Linked DNA regions of Canis lupus familiaris. The protein of the gene in region 2 purifies or fractionates together with the protein of the main gene of each other region. This does not show direct contact. Links are inferred from orthologs where the notes say so. Each region holds a gene or a part of one and is shown on either strand. Other genes may lie near its edges.

The links.
Region 1: the proteins of PRKCQ (region 2) and IKBKB purify together in Homo sapiens (affinity purification with western blotting; 4 studies listed by BioGRID). This does not show direct contact. The link is inferred for Canis lupus familiaris from reciprocal best matches to the Homo sapiens genes PRKCQ and IKBKB.
Region 3: the proteins of PRKCQ (region 2) and CHUK purify together in Homo sapiens (affinity purification with western blotting, with the first as the bait; 3 studies listed by BioGRID). This does not show direct contact. The link is inferred for Canis lupus familiaris from reciprocal best matches to the Homo sapiens genes PRKCQ and CHUK.

The regions. Positions count from the first base shown.
Region 1 is NC_049237.1:24,105,512-24,112,530, forward strand, and holds part of IKBKB (inhibitor of nuclear factor kappa-B kinase subunit beta), read right to left. Parts: exon of another isoform or gene 6,970-7,019; intron 3,154-6,969; coding exon 3,046-3,153; intron 1,837-3,045; coding exon 1,707-1,836; intron 1,328-1,706; coding exon 1,133-1,327; intron 454-1,132; coding exon 339-453; intron 1-338.
Region 2 is NC_049223.1:28,534,475-28,541,067, reverse strand, and holds the end of PRKCQ (protein kinase C theta type), read right to left. Parts: intron 4,980-6,593; coding exon 4,851-4,979; intron 2,870-4,850; coding exon 2,714-2,869; 3' UTR 2,163-2,713; downstream 1-2,162. UniProt on the Homo sapiens protein: Calcium-independent, phospholipid- and diacylglycerol (DAG)-dependent serine/threonine-protein kinase that mediates non-redundant functions in T-cell receptor (TCR) signaling, including T-cells activation, proliferation, differentiation and survival, by mediating activation of multiple transcription factors such as NF-kappa-B, JUN, NFATC1 and NFATC2.
Region 3 is NC_049249.1:13,153,080-13,159,907, forward strand, and holds part of CHUK (inhibitor of nuclear factor kappa-B kinase subunit alpha), read right to left. Parts: intron 4,494-6,828; coding exon 4,397-4,493; intron 4,102-4,396; coding exon 3,954-4,101; intron 3,637-3,953; exon of another isoform or gene 3,399-3,636; coding exon 3,265-3,398; exon of another isoform or gene 1,215-3,264; coding exon 1,115-1,214; exon of another isoform or gene 385-1,114; coding exon 355-384; 3' UTR 1-354.

The DNA.
Region 1 (7,019 bases), on a different chromosome or scaffold from region 2:
GCTGCCCAGGGACTGGGTAAGCTCATCTCCTTGGTTGTGGACCCCCTCCCCTGGTCCATGTCTCTCCCTCCTACCTTGTCCCAAGCACTGTAGTGATTTTTTGAAAATATTTTATTTGACAGAGAGAGTGACCATAAGCAAGGGGAGCAGCAGGCCGAGGGAGAAGCAGGCCTCCCACCAAGCAGAGGGTCTGACATGAGGCTCGATCCTAGAACCTTGGGATCATTACCTGAGTTGGAGGCATACACCCAACTGACTGAGCCACCCAGGCATCCCAAGTGATTAATCAAAACAAAACAAAACAAAACAAAACAAAACAAAACCAATGATGTTCTTACGAATACAGCTGACACTTTCAGGTTGGGGCCGTGGGGAGATCTGAGTCTCATAGGCGATTTTACTGTTGTCAAAGAGAAAGACAAGGTCCATATCCAGTGTGCGGCCCTCATTCAGCTGCAAAGGGACAAGAACAAGAAGAAATCTTGTGGGTCCCACTCCTGCCTTTTTCAAGTAATAACACAGGGATTTCAGAGCGCTTCCTGCTGTTCGCCGATGGCATCATCTTCAGCCAGCAGGTACTGAATGTCCAGGAAGCCTTTTTCAATGACTCCAGCCTAGATGTCCCTTTGTGTTCCCTTTATACTTATCATCCAAATGTGTGTCTTATTTACTACTTGCTAGTAGTAATAGCTTTTTTATCTATTCTCTATTATTTTTACTGTGCAATGCAGATGTTCACTATCTCCCTTCCTAACCAATGCTTGGTTCTCATAAGTTAACTTCATCGGTTCCTTGGGACAGGGACCAGGTGGTGCATAGCTGTAGCTGTCCACATGGTTCTGTACGCAAAGGTACACTGGAAACAGCTCTGGCTGACTCGGAGGAGCAAAGCATTGCTTTGGCAATGAAGGCAACAACAGAAAGGCATCTAAGTGGTCTGAAAGTAACAAGTCAACCGTAGAAGGATTCGTGTATCCCATTAGGTATTAGATCGATGCAGGGGATCTCACATTCCAACTAAAAAAAACAGAGAGGTACCTGTACCATGCAACAGAGTAGAGCTGAAATCTGAAGAGCCTGGGGGCAAAGTCAGAGTTAAACACCAGGCATTCTGTAAGGAGCAGGGGCTGACCTTGCCGTCTGAAATGCACTGAGCGGCGGGCTTGTCAGGGATCAGTGCCAGCCCAGCTTCCTGCAGCAGCTCCTGGTCCTTCTCGGGGATTCCTGTGTCATGCTGGATTCGGGCCTTCAAGTTCTGCAGGCTCTCGTCCTCAGTCACTGGATAGGTGTGAATGATGCCTGTGACCATGTTCAAGATATGAACCAGCTGCAACACAACCCAGATGTTATTGGAAAAAAACCCATCTTTACAGAGAAGCCCAACTCTTTGCCTGTGTCGTCTACTGCTCGCAACATTTTCCAGCCCCACAAAGAAAGGGGCAAGGCTAGCTGGGGGAAAGGAGTCCCAGTGGGAGCAAAGGAACGAGGGTTCCTATGTTCTGGTCTTTAATACTCCTGCTTGTCCACAGCTATGACCTTACAACTGAAGTCAGTTAGCACAGGGATAGGCACTCATAGGAGCCCCCTCTCCACGGCTCAGATGGCCCATGACCTGCTTCATAAGGCGCTCTTCTTTCTCCTGAGCCTGGCCACAGCCCCTCAGGGGCCTGACTGCTGCCTCGGGGCTGACCTAGCTCCGCACTTACCTTTAGGTTTAAGATGTCATCCAGGGCCTTGAAGCAACCATTGGGCCCGTACACAGGGTCGGTGCCCCTTTGCCGTGGGTGCCACATCAACATGAGCTGCAGCCACTTCTCCAGTCGCTGTGCCAGGATGCTGAGAAGAACGAGGGCACGGTGTGGGAGGAGACCACTGCACTGCCCTCAGGCGGCCTCCCACACAAAACTGGAAGGTACGCACCTCACACACACTCACCGCTACACATACACCCGTGGCAACCAGTATGATTATTGAAAATGAATTTCCCCCTGAGAGAAAGCGAACATTTCCAGCCAGACTAATGATTTGAGTGCTTATCCTTTTACCTGATCTGCTAAAATACCCCCTGAAATCCCAGATTTCTCAACAGATAGGTCAACAGACCAATGATCACCTGGCTGCAGGAGAGTGAAATGTGAAGCTCTTCATATGCCGCAGGTGTGTCCTACCTCCAGGTGAGCCCCCTGCCCCAAGCTAGACCCCATTCTGCCAGGTTTATTTTAATCCACACCCATCCCATGTCCTCCCTCCTGAACCCCTGCAGCGCAAAACCCACTCATGGTTCCCACAACAAAGTTCACACTCCTTCCCGGGCACAGGTCTGCCTCATGTAGGCACTCTCAGCCCCCACGAAGGCCAACTCTCTTTGCACTGCCCCTGGAACATGCCTTTGCTCCCCTCACTCCTTCCCCCTCAGCCTTCCTTCCTCTTCATCTATCCATGTCCTGCACATCTTTCCAGAAAGTTCCAGCTCATCCAAAGTCGTTCCAGTTCTAGTCCACACGCTACCGCTCTCCCCATCCTCTAAATACTCATGGTAATTATTATCTGCACCACTCGGCTGTGTGTGACTGCCTTGCCACTTTCTTTTGTACTACTATACAATGTTGATATTACTATCTAAGTGTTCACATTCTGGCTCTAAGACTAGTTTGCAATGCTGTGCAAACTACAAAGATTTGTTGACTATGACACAGTATGAGGCTACACAGGAGTGCAAAGAGAAGAAAAACACAATCTGAAAAGGCTTACGGTTGACTAGAAGACAAACCCTATGCAAAACCAAATGTAATACAAACTAGAAGCTACTAAAGGTGGTAAGAGGTACAGATAAATTGTTATGTGAATTTAGAAAAGAGATCATTTCTAGATGGGGTGAAGAGTGGGAATCCATTCTAAGTTTATGACTGAGATGATCATCTCAAGTCCTTAAGTCACAGGATGCTATCCTGATAACCTCTTGAAAAGCTTTCCGATGTTACTGCAGACACCTATTTCTAAAAAAGGAAGAAAACTACGTAGAGGATATGTGCCACTGTGCCTTACCTGTTCAGATTATTGGGATAGGGTAAGGAGCTTGAAAACTTCACCGCTCCATTCAAGTCCTCACTGACGACAATGTCCATCTCACTCTTCTGCCGGACTTTGGAATGCCTGCAAACATGTCATCTCCTTGATTATAGCCCCCAAGTCACTTGGGCAAGAGGTACTTTACATCTGTAACATATCACTTTACAACTGTACAGGATACCCCCGGGTTGCAATTTTATCTTTGGGTAGCAGTCAATGCATCTGCATCTGGCTGGGATGATTTCTTTGAGAGCTGAAAAACAGTCTGTACCGCCTGAAGGAGTGGAGGCATCAACCCTCCTGTGCCCAGAGTACCACAGCCAGTACTGCCAACTTCTAATCTCATCCTTAGCTTGTCTTTATAATTTTCTCCACTTTTCATTTTATCTAATACAAAATTCATGTTTTTTTTTTTTTAAAGATTTTATTTATTTATTCATGATAGTCACACAGAGAGAGAGAGAGAGAGAGAGAGAGGCAGAGACACAGGCAGAGAGAGAAGCAGGCTCCATGCACCGGGAGCCCGACATGGGATTCGATCCCGGGTCTCCAGGATCACACCCTGGGCCAAAGGCAGGCGCCAAACCGCTGCGCCACCCAGGGATCCCAAAATTCATGTTTTGACAGAGGATACAATTAGAACTTCCAAACCAGGATCACTGCACACGTATCACGTTTATAGGATATACGCGCAACACATGCACACGCAACACACTTCCCTCTAAATGTAGGTGACTAAATGTTAACTCTAGTGGTGAATGAATTCACATTTCCCAATTTAGAGAACTTACTGATGCACCGATGCACCGGAAATAGTATTTGAAGGGGAAAAAATGTTAAACGCAACTAGTTTCAAAGCTTTTCAGTGATGAGGAAAATGCCTTAAATTTGAATTATGCTTCATAGATAACCAAGTACTTCAACACCGAACACAGGCTTCTTTGCCACAATAATCCCATGTGGTAGGCCCTGTTTTTAGTCCCCCATTCAGTGGTAAGGACATGAAGATCGGTTGACTTGCCCAAGGTCTTATAACTACAGAATGGCAGATCTGGACTCAAACCCAAAGTCTACCATTCTTTCTACTCTGTCTGAATGTACAAGTCTTTCCTTCCCAAAAACACCTGGGAAATTCAAATAAAAAAATACTTTAGTCCTGAACACTTCTCATAGGCAAGGGGTCAGCTGGCCTGTCTGGAGCATGTGGGAAGCCTACAGGCACTGGCACATGGCAGTGGCCACCGGCTTACAGCTCTGGCTGGTACTATGATTACTGTAAGGCAGGGGCAAGCTTGTCATTAGTCCATCAATGGAAAATTATAAACATAAAAGGACATAGTAAATAAATGTTTATTGGTTAGGTCCTGAAAAGTATTTCAAAGTAGCATTACAACAGAATTATGAAGCTCAAACTGCCTCTGTCCTGAAATTACTATCCACTTGCCATCTGAGACGAGAGAGTGAAATTTTTAAAAAGTTGTCTAAGGCATTACAAGACAAATGAGACAGATAATTCTCACAAACTAGTCCACTAAACAGCTCCTGACTGGGTGTCCAAGTCTGCCTGAAGTGTCACCTGGCCTTCCAGCACTGGAGTGGAGTTCTAAAAAGCTGATTCTGCAGACAACAGACTTACCATACAGATGCTGGGACATTAGGGATATATTTTCAAATAGCACTTGTTCTTCCAGTTTGAATGGATTTTAACTCATCTTGTTAAAAATAATGAAAAAGCTCAACATTTGAACTGAAGAAAAGCAGCAATTCTTTGATTAGTTAAAAATATTGATGTACAGATATTTAAGTTATTTTTATGATGGTTATAGAATAAGGTGTGACTATAAATTAATGAGCCAATTCCTTAATATTCTAGAACTTACGCAGCTCAAGTACTGCTTGTTTTAAAATAAACCACCACAGGAGGGCATACTTTGCCATTTTGCCAGACTCCAGAAAAGCAGTCACCTGGCCTTATTTCTCTTTGCATTATACATGTTGACTGAACTGGACTGCCATCACAAAAACCACTCTTCTAGAGTTGATTTCCAAGGCTAAATCTTATAAGTAAATAATTAATGATGTAAGTTAAGTACCTGTCCTTTGAAAAAGTTACTGTTTTCATTACTTCCAAAAAGATATTTAGAAAAATATAATAGCCAGTGCTGGCAATGGTATGGTAAAAGAGGCAGCTTTGTATGTTCCTGGTCAAAACATTATTCATACAACCTTTCTGTTGAGCATTTTAATACACATCAAAAACCTTTACGATGCACATAATTTTTGATCAGTTAATTCCACTTCTAGGAATTGTCCTAGGGAAATAATTATGGATCCATAAAGATTTCCCTATAAGAACATTATTCTTGGTGTTATTTTAAGAAGTAAAAATTCTAAACCACCTATGCTTCCAATAACGGGGCATAAATTAAATAAATTTCAGTATAGCCATTCAGTTGCATACCAGATATGACAAATAATGGAAAAACATAAAGGATTTTCAATAGCAAGACTGAGAAGCAGGTTACAGGAGAGTATAATAATTTGTGTTTTTGTAAAAAGTATAACATATACTGAAGAGCCTGGAGACACACAAAAATGTTCATAGTGGTTCTTTCTGGATTGTGTGAAAGAAATTCTCATGGTGTAAAAATGTTTTGTGAGCACATGCAGGACAGTTCATATTATGTTAATCATTGATGTAAAAAAGAGGTGAAACACAAACGAACCAACAGACAAGTACAGACCAATTTTCTTGTACCCATATGAAACACCCTTGGAAGCACACCAAAAACCAGTAGTAGCAGGTACCTATGGGGAAGGAAGCCAGGTGGTGGGGAGGCTGCCCAGAGGGGACTTTTCAGTGCATACTCTTTTATCACTTTTGGAAGCTTGAACCATATGAACTTATTACTGCTCTAAAACAAAACAATACAAAACAAAAACTGGAAATAAAAACAAAATTTGGGGGATCCCTGGGTGGGTCGGTGGTTTAGCGTCTGCCTTTGGTCCAGGGCGTGGTTCTGGAGTCCCGGGATCGAGTCCCGCGTCAGGCTCCCGGCATGGAGCCTGCTTCTCCCTCTGCCTGTGTCTCTGCCCCCGCCCCTCTCTCTCTATGTCTATCATGAATAAATAAAATCTTTAAAAAAAAAAAAATTGGAATAACAGTTGCATCATTTAAATTAGTGTGTGGCCTCTCAATACTCTGAATGAAACCTAATTTAGGGGAATGTTAGTTTTCAAACTACACATTTTGGTAATGATTTACCTTCACATATACAATGAACACTTATACACTTATTTTTGTAATTAAAAAAAAGGCAAAGATATAATTTTTTAAAAAGTATATCCTTCAGTTTTTTATTTATAAATCTTTTTTCTGGTAACTTTCTTGTGTGCAAATTGGTTCAAATTTTAAGCCACTTTCTTATGCTTTTATTTTTTATTTTTTTATTTTTTTAAAAAGATTTTATTTATTTATTCATGATAGTCACACAGAGAGAGACAGAGAGGCAGAGACACAGGCAGAGGGAGAAGCAGGCTCCATGCACCGGGAGCCCGACGTGGGATTCGATCCCGGGTCTCCAGGATCACGCCCCGGGCCAAAGGCAGGCGCCAAACCGCTGTGCCACCCAGGGATCCCTCTTATGCTTTTAAAACAAAAATTTATATTTAGGAATGGTAAAATTTGTCAATAATACACTTCCACGAAAATACTTATCATTTGTCTTGCATACATGTCCTTTATTTATTTACTAATACACAGCATCTTCAGTATAAGTACACTGTTGTATAAAGCAGTCTGTAAATGTACTGGCATGTTGCTACTGAATACAGGGCAAATATTTATAAGGCATTACTTTTAAAGATGTTAACACTTTAACAATTGCTCTACTTTTCCAGGATTTTTGAGTCTGGACTGCCCATGTGCTGGGTCCTAACATGACATCCTC
Region 2 (6,593 bases):
ATTCAGATTGACTAGAGCACAGGTGAGTGAAAGGTGGAAATGGGAAGTCGGGTAGAGAGGTTGGGGACAGAATGGGTGGTCTTACATGGGTTTTAGGCAGTGAAGATGACACAGAGTTTTGAAAATGAGTGTGATGGGATTAAAAACTTTGATTTGTGAAGATATTTTCATAAATAATAAAGATTATCTTAAGCTAAGACACTTGGGATTCAACAGATGCAGAAAGAGGCCTTCTGGGAGCTTTCCTTATCTAAGAACAGAAATTTCAGAGAAATGAGGACTCCTAAAAATTCCTTCTTCAGAGTGGGTCTATTGGTAGGCATGAGACCAAGAGTAAACCTACTTATCATAAATCCCCTTTCTGGGGGAATGTTATGGCCCTAAGGAAGATGGAAAGAGCACTCATACCTGTATAGACAAACATTATCACAAACTTTCTTATTTCCTATTTGTTCTCCTGAAACCCCATTTACACTACTTAAAGAAACTTATTTGTCCTTCCCATAGGAGGCTTTTCTCTGCCCCCACCCTCCTTTCTCCTGCTAAACTAGGAACTTAAGTCCCAAATTCCCCAAACCACTCCTTTGAAATACTCATCACTGGGCAATCCTATATATATGCATGTAGCATGTGTAAGTAAAAGTAGGCTTCTCTTGCTGATGTCTTTTGTCAGTTTAATCAGCAGGCCCAGGTTATTAATGGAGGAGGGTAGATAAAAAGTTATTCCTACCCTATAACGTATGTTGTATGCATGAATTAAAATGGGGAGAAAGGCTTAAGATGGGGGATATTGATCCAGGCATGACTAGCAGAAGAGAATGTAGAGATGAGTATGTTTTTTTGGACACACTACAAAAGCAGAATCATAAGGATTTGGTTAAAAATTAAGGAGAGGGGACAGTGAACAATGACTCTGAGGTTCTGAGCCTAGATGACTGGACCTAGAGTGGTACCATTAACAGAGTTAGGAAACACAATAGAGATAGAGATTATAAGAAAATAGAGCAAGTCAGCAGAGACTGTTTGAAAGCTGGAAGCAAAGTTAGAACTGGAGATGTGGACTTGAGATGATATGCGCTGGGTGATGAAGGTATGAGGTATGATGTGGCAGGAAAGAACCAAAGGAAGGTGAAACCAAGATGAGGAATGGGGCCTTGGAAGTGATTTGAGGTAGGAGGAAAGGGGCTGGTCAAGGGGGCAGTCAAAGGTGGAGGGAGAACAAGGGAAAGTGCTGTGTCACAGTGTCTAACGGGGCTGAGATTGAAGGGAGGATCTTTCCTCATATTAAAAAAAAAAAAAACTGCAGAAAGGTAGGTGAGGACCTAGTGCATTCCAGGAAGGTAGTCCTGGGAGGAAGCAGTGCCTGGGGACATGTAGGAGGACAGAGCTGGATTCAGATGTTGGAGGAGTAGAGACAATGTGTAGACCACTCCAGAGATATCTCATGGTGAAGGGAAAGAGGAACATAGTAACAGTAATTTAGAAGTTACCTGAGTTTCTCACCTATTTGGGGATTTTTAGGGATTCCCAAAATTTACAACATAAACTCCATGCTAGCTACATTTTGATGATAACCACAAAAAAAAACCCAAGTTCTTAGGGGCAAGTAGGGAATAAAACTATTAGGAGGCATCTTTCTTTCTTTCTTTCTTTTATTCCATTTTTACATATCTCCACCTCTGTCATTAAGTCACAATATTTTATCAAAATATACAAATAGCACAGATACTTAAAAATGTATAGCTAAAATTCTAGTTAAACAAGATCAACTGCTACAAGTAGCATGCATAGGTCTTTTATCTTGAATAATGCCTAAAGGGAGACAAATGAGTCATCAAATCAACTTTAAGGGTATAAGAGATTGCTTTGCTTTTCTGTTGTAAGGATTATGCACTTCCTTTTTTTTGTTACAGTGTGAAGAGTATGGTAATGAGTGACTTCCACTGATACTGAAATCAACTGAGAATGGGTGGATGGGGTGGTTCTATTGGCAGGAGTAAGTGATTCTATCTTTGTTGGACTCTACTGTCTATGTTGACAAGATAGCCAGAGTAGGTGTTTTATTAAACCCTCCATCTCAGTGACATGAGCTCTTCTTTACTTTCCATTTTCCTCTTTCCCGAGAATCTCATGCCTAATCAGAATGAATGGATCTGTAAATCTCGAGTTACAAGCTATGTTTATTGTGAAGAATTCCCATAAAAACCTATTCAGGGCTTCCCCCACCACCATTTACGCTTCCACAGATGCAAACAGAACAAAACAGGTTAGTGGTTACTTGTCTGTGGCTGAATGAAGTCCACTCCTGCAGAGGGTGAGGCGCTGTTTCAGTCTTGAGACGTCTGTGCTCACTCTGCCTTCGGCCACTCATCAGCTGTTGATGCCCATGTGAAGAGCCATGATTTCGGGCAGTATTAACTTTTCAGGTCTTTTCACATTGCAGAGAACCATTGTGCCAGTAAGTAACTATGGTTAGTAATGACCTCGCTTCAAGAGTGGCCACAGGAGAGGACAGAGAAGCACCGAAGGGTGTAGTTATTAGTGGAGGAGTTGGCTTCTGCTGTAGATGCAAAGTCAGTGAGGAGCTAAAAGGTCTCAGCCTGTATTATTGAGTGTTTCTTTTCTTTCCCAAGGTGAAAAGGAATCCAAGGAGCGTCACTGGAACCAGTTCACAGACACAAGACAAATTCCCTTGTGTGTCAGGGGATGTGCTTCAGGATATCAACTTCTCCATCCCTGGGTTAATGAAGGAAAAGTTTCTGAACATGTTCTGGTCCATGCTGTTGATCAGGGCTCTGTCAGCAAATGACAGCCGGGGTTTCTCATTTAAGAATTCTTTGTCGAAATTGCTGCAGTCATACGGTGATTTCTTCATCCGAGTTTAAGGGAAGGGTGGAGGGAAAAAGGGAAGAAAATCAGGCATTGAATTATTTATCTTCATTTTTGTTATCTGGGTTCAATCTGTGTATGACCATGTGGGCATTCCAGGTAAACTGAAATAATATTTATAGATGGTCATAGGATTTATGGAACATTTCTAAGATCCTGAGCTGTGCCCTTAGCAATGGTACAATTAAATTCATGTCAAGGAATTTCATTATATACATCAAATAGTATCTCATGCTTCTGGTCAATAGTTTACATGAAACAGGATTGACAACCTTTGAAACAGTGGTGAGCCCAGATTTGACCTGTAGCCTTTTGGTGTTCAGGGGACAGTTTGGGGAAGGGGAAGAGGGTCGGAGCAGAAGTCAGGACTTTTGCAGATTATATACTCCTGTTCTTATATCAATATCCTTCACTATTTTTAGTCCTCTACCCATATTAATTTCATTATTAACCATTTTGGACTTCTTCTATAGACAGATTGGGACTAGCTCCCCTTAAGCCACCTGGTCCATTGGTGCTCATGAGAAAAGAAAAAGAAAGAATGTAAAAACGAACACCTATTTATAAATACTGCTTTGTATGGTGTATGGTTCAATTTTTTTAGATTATCAAAAGTCACCTTTGTGTATATATGAGTAACTAAGAGTCAGGCTCTTCCTATCCTCAAGAGGGCTCCTGGCTGGTGAGACCAATAGCCTGTGGCCTCTGCCTACAAATAGCTGTTTAGACAACACATGAGGGAAATTCCTTCCTACTGGTAGAATCGAGAATTGTCCTCTAGGGAAAGTGTAGATCAAAAGTCTGATTTTTAGGTGGATAATATCAAGTTGATTGTAATGTACCATGGAAGTTGAGACATGAATTATATTGTTCTGATGAGCTAAAACAAGGTAAAAATTCATTTTATCACAAATTATTAACTCATAGTTTAGGTATGACGCTATTAAAAATAACAAGAGTGCTATAGGCCAGCCTGTAGAACCCTTAGAGCATCCCCAGAGCTTGGGTCAAATGTTGAGACTAACTTTGCTAACCCTGAGAACACAGTTGCCTCCTCTGGTCAACCGCTATCCTGATGAATGGGAGTAGCTCTTTTCTAGAGTGGAGCATGTCATCCCACCCATGGAACATCTCACCCATGGAACAGACATAGAGATGTCATCTCTATGCAAAGAGATAGTCGAGATGGTTTATATCTATCTGGGTCATTACTTCTTTTTTTCCCAGGAATCACCAGGAATGGGTAAAGATGGCAAACACACCCCTTTGGTTTACTCTTTTAAAAAATAACTTCATGTAAAAATTGTACTAAAATATACCTAACATAAAAGTGACCATTTGAACCATTTTTAGGAGTACAGTTCGGTGGCATTAAGCGCATGCATTGTTATCAACATCCATCTGCAGAACTTTCTCATCTTAACTGTGTTTTATTTTTGTCTTCACTTTATGGCGGCTTGTTCTGCAAGTGGTCAAGTCACTTTTTCTCAGTGAGGTTAGTGACTTTTGCTAGTGAGCGTACACATGGGAGTTTAGAGACCTGTCTTTTCTTAAGCTCCAATTTACTTCTTAAACCAAAGAACATGTAACAATCACCATTAGGAGATACAGGTATGTGAATGAATTACAAACATCAGACAAACTCCTTATCTCATCTGAGAGTCACCTGGCACGTGCGTGTTAAGTCTGAGGCACGTACGCCCAACAGCTCCTTTTCATGCAGGTACATTTTCGTTGCAGAGGTTAGATACTGCAAACAAGAGTAACATCCCCTTGCTCCCCAACCCCCCACCAGCCAAACAACCTGAATTATGGTTAAGGAAGCACCTTCCTCCAAGAACTGAATCCAGGAGGGAAGCTGGGGCCCACACAGGGGTGAGGGGAAGCAGGCAGGCAGCCTTGGGGGTGAGTGGAGCAAGGCGGGAATGGTGGGGAGCCAAAGGTCCTGGGTGGGTCCTTACCACTTTAGGCCGGAATGGTGGGTCAATCTCCTTTCTTTCAAGCTCTTCCCAGTTGATCTCCCGAAACAAAGGATGCTGGCGGATGTCTCCCCTCACTCCCAGCCTCTTTTCAGGTTCCCTCACGAACAGCTGAGCAACAGCAGAAAGGAGCAGTTATTTCTAAAGGGAAGCCTCAGACAAGGTTGCATCTCTTAGTACCTGAGCTTGGATCCCCAGGAATTTGACTCCATGAAGGTAAAGGCTCAGCGATTTGACACATGCTTTTCTAACTTTATTTTCCTACTTACCAGTGTCACCTGTTGCTTCAAGTCACACCGGTGACAACATTCTCCCTCAATTGAGCCTTCTAAATATTCTGGAATCTGGGCTTTTGCTTCCTTGCTCTTTGCCCTAGAAATGCTGTCTTTCAAGGGGATCTAGACCAATTTATAGGACCTCTGGTAGGATACCAAACTTTTCGACTCAGTGTCCTCATGTGTAAAGTGAGTCAAGTGTCCTTCCTGTGGGGCTGTTCTGTGGGTGGGATGATAAACACACACACACACACACACACACACACACACACACACACACACTGATTCCTGGGGTGTAAAGTGCAACAACATAGAATAAGTGATCAATTGGTTGACTTCCCATTGATCAAGTCTGATTTCTTACAAAGCTGCCTTCTAAGGATAACCGTCTTGCTATGAGGAGAAGCTCACTTCAGGGATAATATAAACTAGTTGCCAATAGCCCCCTTGGAACAAGACATCTGCAAACCTGCTGGTAAAGTAATGTTTAATTCAAATCATCTTTAATATTTTTTGACTTGTTTTTTTCCCCACACTGTCCCCTCTCCTGTTACTTTCCTCATGAGGTGAAACTGAACATTGGCCAGGATAGGAAAGAAATCTGGAAACTCTTCGAACTGAAACACAGCAGGTCAAGGGCAGTACTGAATGGGAGAGACCAAGCCTCTTGAGCCAAGAGGCAAGCCACAGGTCCTGAGTGCCTGCAGTGGTTACCCCTTTTTTCATACCCCTGCTAGATGTTTGTTTAGAATGTAACCGCTGGCTACAGGGTGTCTTAAGGACACCATGGGTCCCTGAAACAGAAACCAGAGTGAAATGAAGTGATTTTCCATGAGCTTCTGGCAGGAACTCACCTCCATGAACAACTAATTTATAGGGATCTCTTGCTTTTACTTCTTTTAAGAACAGCCAGTCTATATGTTTTCAAACACTGCTTTACTTGTCTTGCCTTCCTACCTGAAAATCTTCAGAGGCTCTACCAAAACCACCCTTATCCCGCAATCCCAAAACTAAAATAACAAAAACCAACATGCTTGGATGTTGCATGTTCACTTCGTGCAAAGTGAAGTGTTTTTTTCCTTTTTTGTAATTATGATAATCTTTTTAAAAGTCCAAGTGTAACACTCATGCAACCACCTAGTAGAGCCACATGGCTAGTCACCCTAACTTCCTTCCCCCCTTACCCTATGCTGGCTGCTGAGGTCTCTCAATGGAACTTAAGGTTCAGCTCTGTTAGAAAACCACTAACATGAGGCTGTCACCCAAGAGACTTACTACCCACGAGGCTGTGGGCAAGTTTTCTGAGTCTCGAGTTCCTCACCTGTAAAATGCAGGGTGAAGCAAGGTCATCTCTATGCCCTGGTGAGCCCTAGTCCTCTGACCGCCTAGTGACCTAGGAACGCCTAGGGCATCCCAGGCTCTCTGTTGACACACATCCTTCCATTCCCAC
Region 3 (6,828 bases), on a different chromosome or scaffold from region 2:
TGATACTTTTGGCCTTATGCCCAAAATTTAGTGGTAAAAGATGGTTTTTAGTCAGTTAAGTGTTTTATCATGTTTGAAGACAAATGGATTGCCATGATATGCTTAAGTAGCTATCATATTTAAACAAGTCCACTGACTTGTTTAAAATTCTCTGTTCACGGGTTAAAATTCTGTTTAGGGGTTAAAATTTCCCAAAGTCGAAATACCGTGCTTGTAAAATCTTGCATTTTTTCTGATCATAGCCATTTCTTCCATTTGTTGGTGTCTGAAGAGTATTTTCATGGGAGAAAAACAAATTTCCTGCATGTGCAGCAACAATCTCCGTCAGTTTGGGCACACTGAATAAGTAGCAAGTCATTCTGTTAACCAACTCCAATCAAGATTCTAAAACCAGCATGGAAAAAATTATAATTAGATGTTGACTTTAAACAGTAGGTTTATGGGTGTTACTTTTTGCAAGTTTTCTGTGTGTTTGGACATTTTATAATCAAAAGTTGAAAAATCAAAGTATAAGTTACAGTTAGTTTAATTTTACCTTCTGTCCTGCCGATTAAAAAAAATATTTCAGAAAAAATATTTCAGTTTTCATAAATATTTGAAGTAAATAATGAAAGGAAATACAAGCAATTGACCTTGAGACTAACTGTAGTAAAATTAACTCAATAAACATTTTTTGTGGTTTCTCTGAGTTTTAACAAATCAGTAATTCACAGTAACCAAATCTTAATATTTCTATTAATTTTGACTGTGTTAACATTATTTGTTTTACGTACAGCTGTTATTATATTTGAGTTACAGTACAAATCCTGCCCCATCTTATTGAAGAAAATTGATTACTGAAGCAAAAAGGTACAAACCATTCAATTTCAGTGGTCACATTGCAAAAAAAGTTCACCCTTCATTTAATTTGACCAAAATGCTACTGCTGAAGATTTACTAATGACATAATCCTAGTATATCCATGAATAAGAGAAGATTGGGATCTGAGGTCAAAGATATAACTTAAATGTCTTTTCTCTTTCTTCTGAGTTCTCCTTTTCCCCATATGCATCCCAAATGCCAGAGGTGGCTAGCATGGAAAGTCAAAACATACCCATATCCATATAAAACTTACCATCATTCTACTGCCCTGTTCCTCATTTGCTTCATGAATAATAGTGCTTAAATGGCCAAGACAGTTCAAATTTTCTTCTATCATTTGTACTATAGTCTCCCTGTATGATGAAAAAACAAAGCCTTTTCAAATGCAGCAAAGAGACATACAAATTTCCTCTACCTTCTGGTCTTCAGGGTCAGGATAATCACTGCCCCTCCTGCAGCCCTGCAACCCAGCACCCCAATGCAGCTGATTCCTATGGTCTTCAGTTTCCTTATCCCTCCCACCCAGAGGCAGAGTCTTGCTTGTTAATGCAAGCTGTTGCTTCTGCCCAGCTTGAATGAGAAGAAATCCATTATAAATGCAATCTCATTTTCCTCTGAAATATAAGCAGCACTTAAATACAACTACCCTCCCCACTCTTGAAAAATGCTAATGGGGGGTGGAGTGGGAGAGAAAATTGTAGTGCAGACAGATGAAAAATCTTTTTGTTTCTGGAATATTTTCCTTTCCTTATAAGTAGTAAAAATATCAGTGTGCTTATTACTCCAGAGACACAAATATAAGGGTGAAGATAAAGAAGTACAATCTGGTCTGCAAAGATAAGGGAAGGTGAAAACTGGTTGGAAACTACAGATGACAGCGATGAAAAAGAAAACAAGCAAGCTGATTTCTGAGGACAGCAGAAGAAAATAGCATCATAAGGTAGCTGCCCAGAACCAACAAGAATCTCTGGAAGTTTATATTTGAAGAAAATCCTTATTTTGGTTTCCACCTTCCCCACTTTCCTCTGCCATTTGGCCTCTATCCTTTACCTTTTACCAGCCCTCAGTCTCTACCTTACTAGAATTAGTTCTAGGCCATAAATGATAGCCACTATAAGGTCAAAACTAAATTCTAATTCTAAAGCACGTATTCAAAAGATGAAAAATTGAATCCAACAGATCCCACCTTGGTGGTTAAGTATTATGTGCACATTGTAATTGAAATCAATTTTACTTTATAACGTATTCCTACTGGAAAACATTTAAAATTCCTGTCCGACATGCTTTTGCTAACAACCCAACCTCAAATTAGAAATGGACTGTATAGAGGTGACATTTGCAACCATTAGCATCCCCTAACCTAAATGCCTTTAACAAAAGTAAAAAGGTTAGTAATGTACTAAATTTTATTTGTTTCAACTCTGAGTAATGGAATATTTTCTAAAGTCAATTATATAGCCTGTGCTGTAGCTGTGGATGTATTACATTGGGCCAAATCTCTAACGATCCCAAGATACACCCTACAACTTGCTTTCTTTAAAAAAATAAAATACCTGATATCAGCTTTCCTTCCTGCCATGTGCTTTTCTCTCATAAAAGTAGAGTACAGAATGTGCAACTGCATGACCTCCTGAGCAGTGATGTAACATGGCTGCACTTCTGCAAAACTAATTATGGGCAGAGCTTCCAGGTAATGCTGGTGCTGCTGTAGAGGTCTCCATGAGTTGTGAGAAAAGCGACAATACACAAGCTAGCAAAGAGCCACTGGCTCTGGATACGGCACATCTTATGCTGAGAAAAATAACAGAAATGGATAGTCATTCAGCTTTTAGCAGGAGAGTAGGAATTAATAAAAGAAAATATAAGGCTTCACACTTGAGTTCTTATTTGCAAAACTGATTTAAGGCATTTAAAAAAGCCTGATTTTAGAAATACCAAGTTATAAAATCAAGTAGATTACACTCAATAATTCATTAGAAAGGTGATCAAGGACCCCAAAATGATAAATCCAAAAGACAGCATAACTTTTGAGATAAATGGTTATGGAAGAAATAGCTTGGGTAAAAGAATTGCTAAGCCAGTAACAGAGAAAGAACTTAAAACTTAGATTGAGCTACATAAGTAACATTTGCTGATATTTACTTTCCATACACTTCACATACAACATCTAATTGAATTTTCAGAACAGTTCCCATTTTACAGGTGAGGAAATGGGAACATTTAAAGAATCAAGTTAATTTGCCCAAGGCTATTACAAAGGGACATTATTATAAAAGGGACAGTCAGGATTTAACCCTGGTGTATAAAGTACTGAAGACTTTTTCTTAACCACTATGCTCTACTCTACCTCATTCCTACCACTGCTCTTGAAAACAACTATCTATTGTTGCAAAGTGAACCCACCCATCTTGAGGAGTTACCACGCATGACAGAGGATGTTCACGTTCTGCTGAATTTGGAGGAAGCCATGCTGATGCCTGAGGGGTTACTGCACCTTCTAGACTGGATCCTACGAGGGACCGGGCAGAACTCTGTGTCTGAAGGGGGAAAAAGTAAATAAGATTACAGGCAAGCACCACAATTGATGCATACAATTTCCTACAATGTTCCTAAGATTTACACTTCTACCAGTGCTTAGATGCACAACCACAAAACTATCCTCACCTTTTTATAAGTATTTCTGTACAAAACTATCCTGTCCTTGACCACCTTTCTTAACTAAAACCAAATGTATTTGCCCTTCTCATTCCACTTTTGTTGGAGAAAAAAAAAAAACAAACTAGTTGAACAAGGGGCTAGAGTTTTATTAACTGATCACACACATCTATTCCCAAATTGGGATAGGATGCCACAGTGGTCTACGGCTGGAAGGAATAGATAAACATGAGACCAGAGAGGAAAGAAATAATGGAGGATGATCATGATGTCCTGCATCTGAAGTCAAACACCAAGAAAAGAACATGAGCATCAACCTTAACACAAAATACAGACATCTTTAAAAAGGATTCAGCTCATGCCGAAAGAAGAATCCCTTTTGCAAAGAATACTAGCAAATCAATGTCACATTAAATAATTTATTAAAAGTTACTTACACAGGCAATTTTAAGGAGATGCCATATTTCTTTCTGTCTCTTTCCCTGCATAAACATGACAGTATTGTCAGCTTCTTTGATGTTACTGAGGGCCATTTCCACCTTGGGCAGTAGATCAATAATCTTCTGCTTACAGCCCAATAACTTGCTGGAGAGATGAAATCAGTGTCACACAATTAGACATAACCCTAAGACTATATACCATACTCCCACACCCAACTGGGAAAATGAACCACAATCAGCACCAGATTTAGTGACTGATTTCCAAAGTGATGCACACAAAATAGGACACCTAAACGCACACAACTGTGGCCAAGTTACCCAAGGTATTGCCAGATATCTTCCTGGGTCTAGTATATTTACAAAAAAAGGATATTACACTTTGAAAGGAACATGATAAAAGTACCCTGGCTTTTCAGTAGGAAATAAAACAATTTTTCTACCTCAGATGACCAAACAGCTCCTTGAGAACCCGGTCCTGACTCTGAACAGTATGCACAATGATCTTCACCATTTCCGTGCTGTCGCTATAGGAGTGATCTATAAAAGATCTCAGTCAGTGGGTATAACCTCTTTTCTGCATGAACATATCAGCCTCCAAACAAAAAATTCCTAAAAATCTGAAACTAGTTTTAATTAATAAGCATCTCCATTTAAATTTAAAACTGGATTAAAATTTTAAGATTATATAATGTATAAACAAATATATATCTAAAAACAAAGTGTGTGTGTTTAATGCATATATAAATTTATCACTGTTATCTTCACAGAACTTAGTTGCCTGTTTTGAGAAGGATATGTTTAGCTATCTTTAACCCATATTAACCCAAATCCTAAATCCATATGCAGCTTTCTGGCCAAAAGATCAATTTTTCTTGGATGATTAACATCATTTATTTAGAAACAGTAGGACAATTTATCAAACTTTCACTGGTTTAAAAGCAGGAGGCCCTTGACCTATCTAGGATACTTGGGATTTCATGTTTATCCATCTGTTTGCAGCCCATGAAACTTTGAAAAAAGCTGACTAACTTAAGCCAAACCTGATGCACTAATAAAAGGACCTATACACACCCTGAAAGTTCAGTCTGAGGGTAGTAGAACATCTTAAACTGGAAACTGCCAAATGTCCTCAAATAGGATGGCTGTGTGGACACAGTGAGTGATGAGTGAGTTCTACAGTCTACAGGAGATGTAACTCAATTAAAAAAACAGCAAAAACAGGGTGCCTGGGTGGCTCAGTTGACTAAATGTCTGACTTGATTTTGGCTCAGGTCATGATCTCAGGGTCATGAGATGGAGCTCCACATCAGGCTTTGCACTGACTGTGGAGTCTGCTTAAGATTCTCTCCCTCCCTCTCCCTCTGCTCTGCTTATACTCTTCCCCTCTCAAAAAAAAAAAAAAAAAAAAAAAACAAAAAAACAAAAAAACAAAAGCACTGTTACATTTCAAAAAATGGCATTTAAAGTTTTTTAAACTGGAAGACTGCTCATAGATAATGCTGGTATTTCCTCGAACAATTTTTAGTCTCAGCTGCAAAAATATTATTTGCTATCACCTACTTAACACTTTTCTCATTTAACCCTCATAGGAGTCCTGGGAGATGGCTACAACTATTACCCATATTTTACTATGAAAAGGTATCAAAAAACGTTTTTAAAAAGTTCAGTGTCCTTTGTTATCACTGCAAAGACCTCTCCCCCACAGCTCAAGTTTATTCCCTACACATGTCCCTCTGTCTCTCCCTCACAACTAGATAAAGAGTTGCAAATAAGCTCCTCTCAGAGACCTCAGAACATTAATCTTCTCCAGCATACAAAATGAAGAAAGTTTTTCACCATTTTTAGCTTAACAAGAGTCTCAAGTCAACTCTAAGCTAGAAAGACACTAGAAAAAAAGAATTAGACTTGCTCTATTGAAATTTTAAATTTCAATTATTCTAACCACAGCTTCATATCACTTATATCACTTTCTGTCAATATCTTGATTTTTTTTGTCTTCTATGAGCAAAATCTTAAGTCTGAATCAGTCTAACCTTCTGCTTTGTCAGTTCCTGCAGCCAAGCCACTAAACACCAAAAAAAATACTACCATTCTCTGTTGTCACTGCTAATTCACAAGTTTTCATTTCTGCTCTGGATTCTTAATAAATCTTCTGGGTCAGCAACATCTTCCACTGTACACACCAGTTTTGTTTTGTTTTTTAAGATTTTGTTCATTTATTCATGAGAGACAGAGAGGCAGAGACATAAGCAGAGGGAGAAGCAGGCTCCCTGTGGGGAGCCCAATGGAGGACTCAATCCCAGGACCCCAGGACCACAACCTGAGCTATCCATACTGTCGCTACAGGAGTGATCTATAAAAGATCTCAAGGCAGATGCTCAACCACTGAGCCCGTGTACATACCAGCTTTTAAAAATCTTTAGCATACTCCTTAAATCTATGCAGTCATCATCTCTTCCATTAACCTTATCACCCACGCCTTCTGTTAACAGTTAACCCCACTTCTTACTTCAGGATGGGAGGCTATAAGGGAGACCCCCATCTTCTAACCCCTACAACCACAAAGTGTCAGTATCCACACCCACAATCCCTCTAATACCAGAGACAGCAAGGCTAATTGAGTTAGCCTCTCAAGCTTGTTTAGGGACTCCCTTCTTCATAGGCTTTGGGCCCCCAAGCACATAATAAATATGCTCAAGTCTACCTTCTGAAGACTGACCTCCCTTGATTCTTCATCTCTTAGCTGCTCACCTCTCTTCTTTCCTTAACAGGAAAGCTTCTGAAAAGAACTGCCTAGATAAGCAGTTCTCAAACTTAGTGGTCTCAGTACATTCAAAAATTCTTAAGAACCCCAAGGTGTTTTTCGGGAATT